Linked DNA regions of Coturnix japonica. The protein of the gene in region 1 binds, or shares a complex with, the protein of each later gene. Links are inferred from orthologs where the notes say so. Each region holds a gene or a part of one and is shown in the gene's direction. Other genes may lie near its edges.

Region 1 (4,884 bases):
CTCCCACAGGCCAAGGGCAAAGCCAGGTCTGCCCTGAGGGTGAGAGAGGGTCTGAGTCACTACCCTGCCATGGCAGAACTAAGTGCCTGGAAGTGCATAAGCCAGATCTCTTTGCAGCAACCCTGACTAGTGTCTCCTGTTGGTATCAACTTGGGGAATGGCACTGGGAAAGCTGGAAGGCATTTTCCAAACCAGCAGCTAGTGCATTTCCTAATTGCAAAGCCCCTGAAACACTGTCATGTATGACTTGGCATAACATTCAACGCTTCTTTTTGCAGCCTATGGAAACTGCTGTCTAACTGACTGTATGGGAAGCAGGACTTTTGTCTAAATCCTCCCTCACCTGAGCAAGCATGCTTAGGAGCATTCCCTTTGTTGGGGAAGAAAAATCTTTTGCCTGGTTTTATTTCTCTTTGCTAAAACTTGTCAGCACAAAGCAGAGAAAGGGAGAGTTTGGTGGACTGTCAGTCAGCTCCTCAGGGATCCCATCCTCAGTATCACAAAGATTAAGCAGTGAGATGTTATGAAATGCAAATATTAAAGAGAGAGGAAACCATGTGCATTATTCCCCTGGCTGGAGATGGTGCTGCTCAGCCTCTCTGTACCAGTTGGGTGGGCAGAGGGAATCACTCAGCCAGAGATTATACCCCCAGCCTGCTTGCATGCCTTCACCTGTGGTGGCACATAGCCACTGCTCTCCCAGTTTGCCTCTGGATTATTTCTGTGCTGGTAACACCTACACATTCCCAGTCACTTAGGTCTTGTTTGCGCAGGGAAGATGTTTGATGTGTGACAGGGTTACACAAGAGTTCACTATGATTTAGGGCATCTCGCCCACTAATGCAGTCTCCCTTGTACTTTGTCCAGTGCACTGCTACGCTGCTGTCACTTCTTACATTGGGCTTACCAAGTCCCTGCTGCTCTTCTGCCCCTCCATCTCTCTGTCTCCCTAGCCTAACACTCACTCTCTTCCCTCTATCCAGTTCTGTTAGCTCTCTTCCTGCCTCACACTAAGTGATCTGGCAAACCTCATCCTCAGCATGGCTGGGAGGGGAACATGGGAAGGGGCTTCATCAGCCTGCCTCCACCTTCTGCTTTGTATTACATTTTATAAGCGCAGAACTGGATTGTTATCTGAGCAGCAGAAAGCACTTGGAGGCCTTTCCATCAGCAGTATATAAATAAAAATGGATAGGAATAGATTGGATTGTTGCTTCTTACATCTGCTTCCCTATCTTCTCTCTGACAGGTCCTGACACCCACACACCTGCTCAGACTTCACTACATCTCCTTTTTTCTTTTGTCTGCTTGGAGTTCTGGCATCATTTTACATCCCTCCCTCCCTTACAGAGAGTTCTCAAAGCTCTTAGCCAGGCTCAGAGCTCTCAGGCCTTTTGCCCTCACGTTCTGTATACGGACAGGCCTTCCCAGCCCCATTATTAAAGCACCACAAACATGGCGGACGCCCCCAACCCCACTAAGCGCCTCGCTCCCCACGCGCATGCGTACTGCCCCCACCCCACCCCCCCGCGGCAGCCGGCCTTTTAAGCTAGGCGGAAGTGACGTAAACTAGGGGCGGAAGTGGGACTGGGCGCTGCTTCCTGTTTGCTGCCGGGGTGTGTCCGGCTGATGGCAGGTGAGGGGAGCTCGGCTGGGCCGCGGGGTCGCGTTTGTTTATGGGTCTCTCCTCACACACGGGGATAATGAGTCTGAAGTGCCCGATATGGAGCATTGCCGCCCGGCTCTGCCTGTTTAATGGCTGGGCTCGCAGCGCTGATACAGGGCACCCGGGAGGGCCGAGCTGAGCGTCAGAGGTCGTGGGGTAACGTCGTTCCCCTCTGGTGTGGGGTTGTAAATGAAGTTAAACTTAGGGATGTGAAAAATAACGAGGGAGGATTCTTTAGGTATCTTATTCATAAGAGGCAGGCAAAGGAGTGAGGAGACTATACTCCTTCTGATGCTTCCATGAAGAAGGCTGAAGTATTTAATAAGTTCTTTGAGTCTGTCTTCACTGCCTGGCTTCCCATATCTCTCATGTCCCTGAACCTCTAGGCAGGAGTTGGAAAAGCAGAATCCCCTCCATCTGGAAGGGTGCAGCAAGTCTGAGACCACCTCATGAGACTAAATGTGTACAAGTGTATGGGACCAGACAACATGCATCCCAAGGGTCTGAAGGAACTGTTTGGTGTAGTTACCAAATGACTCTCCATTGTATTTGAAGAGTCGTGGCTGTCAGCTGAGGTCCCCAGTGGCTGAAGAAAGGGAAACTTCACTCCTGTTTATAAGAAAGGGAAGAAGGAATTCCTGGGGAACAACAGGTTCAGTGAGTGTCATGTCTGTGTTTGGGAAGATCATAGAACAGCTCATCTGGGAAGCTAGGTTAAGGCATATGCAAGATGAGGAGGTGATTCGTGGCAGCTAGCATGCCTTTACCAAAAACAGATTGTGCCTGACCAATCTGGTGGCCTTCTAGGATGGCATGATGGCTTTGGTGGACAGAGGAAAGGCAACCGATGTCATCTACCTGGACTTGTGCAAGGCCTTTGATGTGGTCCCATACCACATCTTTATCACATGAGGGGTCTGTCTTGGGACTGGTGTTTATTAACATCTTTACTGATTACGTAGATGATTGATAGGATCATGTGCACCCTCAGCGTGTTTGTAGATGACACCAAGCTGAGTGGTATTATTATTATTGACACAATATAAGGAAAAGATGCCATCCAGAGGTATTTGCATGGGTTTGAAAAGTGGGCCTCTGAGTCTTAAGTCTGGTCTTACAGTTGGGTGAGGGGCAATCCCAGATATGTCTACAGACTGGGAGAAGAACTCAAGAGCAGCTCTGTGGAGAAGGACTTGGGAGTTCTGGTGGATGAAAAGCTGGGCATGAACCAGCAGTATGCGCTTGCAGCCCAGAAGGCCAATAGTATCTAGAACTGTATCAATAGAGAGGGGGCCAGTAGGGTGATTGTGAAGGAGGAATGGTTTTAAACTAAAAGGTGGAAGATTAAAATTAGATGTCAGTGGAAATTTGAGGCACTGGAACAGGTTGCCCAGAGAAGCTATGGGTGCCCCATCACTGGAGGCAGTCAGGGCCAAGTTGGATGGGGCCCAGGGCAGCCTGAGCTGCTGGGTGGCACCCCTACCCATGGCAGGGAGGTTGGAGATCAATGATCTTTAAGGTCCCTTTCATGTGGTGAATGTTGGGAATCCACATCTAGCACTGATGAGCACTTCCTGGTGTTTTAGTGCAGAACAGAAGCCGTGTTGTGCTGAGGTTTTCCTCCTCAGTTTTTATGCTTTGGTTTCAGTGCTGAGTGGTTGTAGAGCACCTAGGTTTTCTGAGAGTCTTTCCCGGTACCCCTGGGGGGAGAGTAGGCTGGTTCTTGACTTCTGCAACCTAACTTCCAGCAGAGCATATAGGAAAGTGCCAGCTGTGGCGGTGGCATTTTGTGTAATTCAAGCAAATGTCAGCTGGCTGAAGTTGACCTATTTGTCTCATTTAGGTTGCGCTTTGGGCACCGCTGGCAGTGTTCTATGGACCATATCGACATCTCCTAGTAGTTAGAAGCTGAAAGTGTCACTATTTCTTGCCTTTCCACTGAAATGGGGATACTTCCTTGAGCAGAGAAAGGAAGTGGAGCGGGTAGTGCTGCTCCTGCCAGGGGCAAGGGCTGGAAGCAAACTGTCTTTGGCATGACTTTGTAGAGACTTTGTGCATTTTGGTTGTCCTGGGAATCAGAGATGCTCTGGTCAACTGTTCCTAGACTTCCTCTAGGAAGCTTGGCTAGAGGCTGACAAGCTCTCATGATACTTACGTCAGACTCTTCTGAGTAGCAAGCTGGGATGTAAGGGCTGCCCAGCGTGTATTTTTGTTACTGAAATGCTTTGGTTAGGGAGGAACAGCCACGCCTCCAGAGCCCTCAGGCAGAAAAATGCCTGCAGCACTCCCGGAGCAGCACATGCTGATCTTGTGTCTGTCCTTCCCCCATCACTTTGGATATTCAGATGGAGTTTTTAATCTTCATTCTTTCAAATAAAAAGCGGTGTTCTTTTCTCTCAGTTCTGGAGTTCATTGGTAGGATAACTGAGAGCAGATAATTGCTGGGAATTGCTGTGCAGTCAAGCTTCTGGGTTTGGTGGTACCAGGTAGCTGTAGTCACCACATGATCAGCCTGAATAGTGAAAGAGCATGGTAGGGATTGAGTGTTGGGGAGAATTAGTATTGAGATAAGCCCGAAAGCAAAGCAGATTTTTTTTTTTATCTTTTAAGATTGAAGATACTGTGCAGAGGAAGAGGACGATTATGTCTGAAATTACGATATTGCCTGTGACCACGGTGTATTAGCTTGAAGGGAATCATTTTTATCGCTCACAAATCAATTTCTGCAGCTACTCGGATCTGTTTGGACCTCTTCACAAGATAACCCTTGCCAGAAAATAGTTCATCCAGCAGCTTGTTTAGTGGGTTATTGATTCTTCAGGTGTCTCTCATTTGGGCCAGTGTTTTGTCAACTTCAGTTATCCAGGATGCTTTGGGAAAGTGTATGGTTGTTGGATTATGCACTTATTGCAATAGTTTGATAGGAAGGGAGGGCAGGCTTTTTTCTGAACCAAACTCGGCAGGAGCCTCTGCAGCAGCCCTTGAGCTGGTGGGACGCTCTGGCATTTAAGAGAACTTACTGCAAGGAAATGGACCTCAAAGGGACTTTTGGCTTAGTCAGTAGGTGCTGTGTTGTTTAGGTGTACAAAAACAAAGTGCCTCCTTTTAGGAAACTGGATGAACAGATGCATCAGGATGCTTGGGCTGGGACTAGCTTAGCTTAAATGCCTGTACTGTAGTTGGTTCTAAGCTGGTTACTTAGTATTCTTCCATAAAGG
Region 2 (4,926 bases), about 4.2 Mb from region 1:
ATAACTAAGGGATTTTTTGAAGTAATTAAAGTAGAAGCATTCGCTTGGATCATTTAGCAGTTCCTTTCCCCAAAAATAATTCACACAATTCCTATAAAGTAGATTAAACCTACTGAACTTTATAGGGTAGCCCCTGCCCTGCTTTTGAGAGATTAGGAAGTTGCCAACTGCGTGTCCTTACCCCACAACATAATAGGAAATAGGGTTTGCTCAATAATTCCAACAGTATGGGTGAGCAGATTTACTTACGTAATGTTTTACTAAGAAGTAACAAGGGGTGTGACAGCGGGTTAGTTAAAGAAAGTTGTAAGCATGAAATAAAAGAAAACCTGCTTCCTAGATGAATTAGGGTTTTATGTAAGCATGGAGTAGCAGATCTAGGTGCTCTATCTGCAGCTTTCTAGCTATCAATCACAGATTCTGAACGTGGGGTCTGTAAAATGCTTGGCAAAACGAAATCATTTGGAAGTAAACTCATTTTCATTTTAAACATTTTAAAAGTAGCAGGGCAGTTTGGGGTTATAATCTTCAAAATATTAGGAAAAAAAATAGTGTTTTTTTCTTTCTTCATCACATGAGAAGCTTCCTACTGACAGCTTCCAACTATGGTACATTCTTAACTGCTCTAAATTTAGATAGCTTTTTATTAGATTTAGATTAGATTAGATTAGTATTCACATGTAGCCAGGGAGAACTTTCACCAAGAATTTCCTCTGCTACATGCTAGTTGGATTTGCTGCTGTAAACAAGGGCTCCATATCACCCTGATTTTTCTTGCCTTCCAGTAGTGCACAATCTTAGAACTGAAATGAAGCTTTACTTAGTGAGTTGGGCTGCTTCTTGTTCCATTGGAAGAAAGATTACCAAGGTAGCACATCCCATCATTCTGGGACCTTGGGTTGCTTAGCTTAGATACTCCAAAACTGACCCTTGACATGAAGACTAGGAATTCAGTGTTCCCATCCCTTTTCCAAAGGACAGATTCTATTCTGAACTGAGTCTTCCTGGCTAACACAAGTTCTGAGTCTCCGAGGATCTGCCAATGGATGCAGTTTGCATATAGTGTTCAAGCTGAGGTGTACTTACCAAACGCGAGTGCGCCTAATGCTCTGTCTGGAGCCGTGTCTATGGGGATTTAAAGCTAATTTCTCATCTGTCATTTGGAGTTAATCAGATTAAGGATTAGGTGCATGATGTACTGGCAATTGCTGACATTTAATGGAGACAACGTGTTCTCCTGTTGCATGACTTGTTCTTTTACCACTTAGGTCTCTTAACACTTGTCTGGCAGATGAATCCCAGAGAACAGATGGCTTAAGCCAGAAAGGACCCGTTCAGATGCAGAAATTAATTATTTACTATTGAACAACATGGACACCGTTAACACAGAGGAGCGGCGCGGAAGGACAAGCAGAGCAGCACACACTTGTAGTCCGAGCCCCTTCCCGAACTACACTTCCCATGGTGCAGCCTGCAGCAGCACACATGCGTAAACCAACCAGCCCCGGCTTGGAGGGCGGGCAGGGAGGTTTTATTTCCGTGCCGAGGACGCTTGAATACAGGTGGGGTTTCCGGGGTGCGGGCAGTCTGCCGGCCCGCGGGGATGGATGAGGACGGGCTGCCCATCGTGGGCTCCGGCATCGACCTCACTAAGGTACGGCTGCGCCTCGCCTCACCTGGCGCCTCGTCCTTCAGCTGTGTCGGCCCCAGCGGAGCTGCTTCATGTGCAGCGCTTTAACAGCGTCGCATAACATGTAACAGAGTGTTAGTGGGAAGGTTTGGCCTCTGCTGTACCACCAACATCTGCCTCTGGTGTCATGGTCCAACATTGGACACGTTATTTCTGCAGCAATCTTTATGTGTGTTACATAGCTCTTGTTTTTATGCACCCATAGCAAACACACCAAAGGCTGATCTTTAAATATTATTTCCTGAATTTCTGCCTTTTTCAATACATATTTTAGTCCAAACGTGAGGATTAACACCCACAAACTGTCTCATTTTCTTGTACTGTTTATTGCAGGTTCCTGCTATTCAGCAGAAAAGAACTGTAGCGTTTCTAAACCAGTTTGTGGTTCACACAGTGCAGTTTCTGAACCGCTTTTCTACTGTTTGTGAAGAGGTATGTTTGCTGCTTTCCATCCCTCACGTTATTTGAAGAGAAAGATTCCTAGAAATGAGAACCATTCGCTTCACTATTCTTGCTGCATTCGTACGAGTAGCTTTAGAGTTCAGTCTGCTTTCTGCTCATCTTGAATGCATTAAGATGGATTTATTTTTTTTTTTTTTTCTCCAGGGTATTCACATACTGATTATGCCTCACTTAACCTTGTTTCGTTGAACTTTTGTATTTGGCATAGCTTTTTCTGAGAGCCTCCTACTGTGAATATAGTCTTGTTTTGGAAAGAGGCTGCTCTGTGTTTGTGGTGCTGAAACCGTTCTGACAGTCCCCGTCCCCTTCATCTGTGTCATAGGGCAATGTGTTAAAACTTGCTTCCAGATTTCTCTGCCTCTTGGCAAGTGGGTTTTGTCTACCATATTAACATTTAGAGTTTCTAAATAAAAGTAATTAAATAAATAAGTTTGGATTTTCCTGACTTGGTATATGGGATACTGTCACTGTCTGGTGAAGTTATCAGTTGCCCGGAACTGAATTTTCATGTAAACTCAATATTACTTATTGTATAGGCACCGCAGAAATTGAAGCATATATACAGAATACTGTCTCGAGCATGGAGCAATGCTGTGAAGTCTAGTTAACAAAACAGTTATTAGTTAGCATAAATGTGTTTTTGCTAAAGAGACTAAGTGGTTACTGTACGTGCTTGAAAAGATTTTGCATTTAAGAACTACAGAAGTGTTTTTAATGTAAATGGTCCCAGTGTAAGTCAGCAGAAGTCAGGAAATTCAGAATTAAAGCTGCCACCAGCCTACTTCTAAATGATTGTCAAGCTGATACAGCAAGTTTTAGAAGTGTCTTTTGAGCATCTTTCCTCCCCTTTTGTCCACTGCTTGCAGAGCATGTAGTTCCTTTCAAGGAAGCCAACTTTTCTTTGCAAACAAAGAACCATCTGTAAACAAGTCAGCGTACAATCCAAAAAGACTAACTTTTGTCACTCTTGCTTTTCCAGCACATTGGCAGAACTGCCATTTCCTTAGGGTGTTAAAGCTCTGCTTAAGAGCCAGGCAGAATCTTGCCCACGTGCCAGAGAGCTGTCAGAGTGGTACATATCTGCCAGCCTGCATGCTAAGCCAACTTCACTTGGACAGGTCTGGTGGAGTATGGTAATGATTAGTTAACAGAGTGATGGTGCTTATAGAGTAATTTAGAGAAACTTGTTTGTAAGAAAAATATATCAAAATTTTATTGATGTACGCTTAGAGAATATAAACCTTCTGGTGAGTTCAGGTTTGCCATGACTATCAAAGACTTTCATTCATCTGCTGTAGCCTTTATCAAATATTTCTATAACATGCTCAGTTATATATGTGCACATTGTATCTCCTTTCACATTTGGGAAAAGCTTTGAAGAAATTTATTTTGGTCAACTGTGAGAGTACAGAGTGTCTGCCATTAGTCTGCTATTTGGTTGCCCAAAGTAATACCCTATTTACTTTGGCTGCCATTTATACATAATTTGTCTTCATTTCTGTCTGTCAAATAACATGTAGTAAAATTGGTTACAATTTGAACCACTCTAGCTACTGTACTAAAAAGGGAAGATGGAATTGCTTCATTTATTTCATGTATGTTATCTCATTTATACTCTACCGTCTTTTGCAGGTTGAAACGGAGATTTTATTTAACTACTTGTGAATGCTTTTATGTATACTAGTGGCCCAGGAGAGTGTTTTCAAATCTTAATTGTTTTCTATTCTAGAAATTGTCAGCACTCTCTCTCCGTATCCAGCAAATTGAAACAACACTCAATATACTGGATGCAAAGGTTTGTATGCGTACAACTGTAACTTTGAGCAGTGGCAGCTTCTGAGATTACATGGCTAAGAAAAGAAAGATAGTTTGAATTGAGCAAATAGGTTTTTATAATGATTGGAGGAAGCTAATATGAAGCACTTGCATGGCAAACTCTCTTTCTGCATTCCCTACACTTACAACATTTGAACGCATAGTAGATATGGAGGAGAAGAATGGCATATTGTGGAAATGTTGGTTTTGTCCATCTTTAGGATACAGAACTGAAAAGGTATGTTTGGATCATGGGAGGGGAACTGAACTACATGGCAGTTACTTGTGTTATTTTTATTGCAAAGCTTTTTTTTTTTCTGTGGCCTCAGAGAGCTTTAGACTAATTCAGATGCGATGAACTAGAACTAGTGATAAAATATTACAGTTTCATTAATGTGAAACTCACCTGTGGAATATGTAGTAAGTGCCATACTGCAGATTTTCTGCTACGTGTAGACTTTCAATATGCTCACTGCTTATTTTGATCATGTTTTGTCCAATCAGTTATCCTCTATTCCTGGCTTAGAAGATGTCAAATTTGAAGTGCCCAGTGCAGATCTGAATAGTGTCACAAGTAGTCCCATGGCACCACCCACTGCAGATCAACAGGCAGCTGTGTCACCTCAATCTGGAGTAAGTAATGACGATAAATTGTGTATTGAAGGAACACATCTCCATATCAGATTTCTAATCTCATTTAAAGCAAATGGAAGAACCAAGTTTACTTAAAGAGGGCAGTCACACCAGCTGTAAAGATCTAAAGTTACATTTTTCATTAATGAAAACAAGGCCATACCCTTTAATAAATACATGGATTAAATAACTAGAACTAACTCAAATCAAATAGAAAATGATTTCTCCCTCTTCAGTCGGTCACACTAAAATATGTACATGAATTACATCAGAGATTGTAAAGGTCATGAATGAAAGGAGCAGCTCAAGTCACGTAATTCCAGTTA

What was found. The genes of interacting proteins can lie anywhere in the genome.
Region 2: WASHC1 (region 1) and WASHC3 share a complex: the UniProt entries of both Homo sapiens proteins name them as parts of the WASH core complex. The link is inferred for Coturnix japonica from reciprocal best matches to the Homo sapiens genes WASHC1 and WASHC3.

The regions. Positions count from the first base shown.
Region 1 is NC_029516.1:52,606,754-52,611,637, forward strand, and holds the start of WASHC1 (WASH complex subunit 1), read left to right. Parts: upstream 1-1,555; 5' UTR 1,556-1,629; coding exon 1,630-1,636; intron 1,637-2,221; exon of another isoform or gene 2,222-2,323; intron 2,324-4,884. UniProt on the Homo sapiens protein: Acts as a component of the WASH core complex that functions as a nucleation-promoting factor (NPF) at the surface of endosomes, where it recruits and activates the Arp2/3 complex to induce actin polymerization, playing a key role in the fission of tubules that serve as transport intermediates during endosome sorting.
Region 2 is NC_029516.1:56,773,507-56,778,432, reverse strand, and holds the start of WASHC3 (WASH complex subunit 3), read left to right. Parts: upstream 1-1,520; 5' UTR 1,521-1,603; coding exon 1,604-1,654; intron 1,655-2,023; coding exon 2,024-2,122; intron 2,123-3,881; coding exon 3,882-3,947; intron 3,948-4,471; coding exon 4,472-4,600; intron 4,601-4,926. UniProt on the Homo sapiens protein: Acts as a component of the WASH core complex that functions as a nucleation-promoting factor (NPF) at the surface of endosomes, where it recruits and activates the Arp2/3 complex to induce actin polymerization, playing a key role in the fission of tubules that serve as transport intermediates during endosome sorting.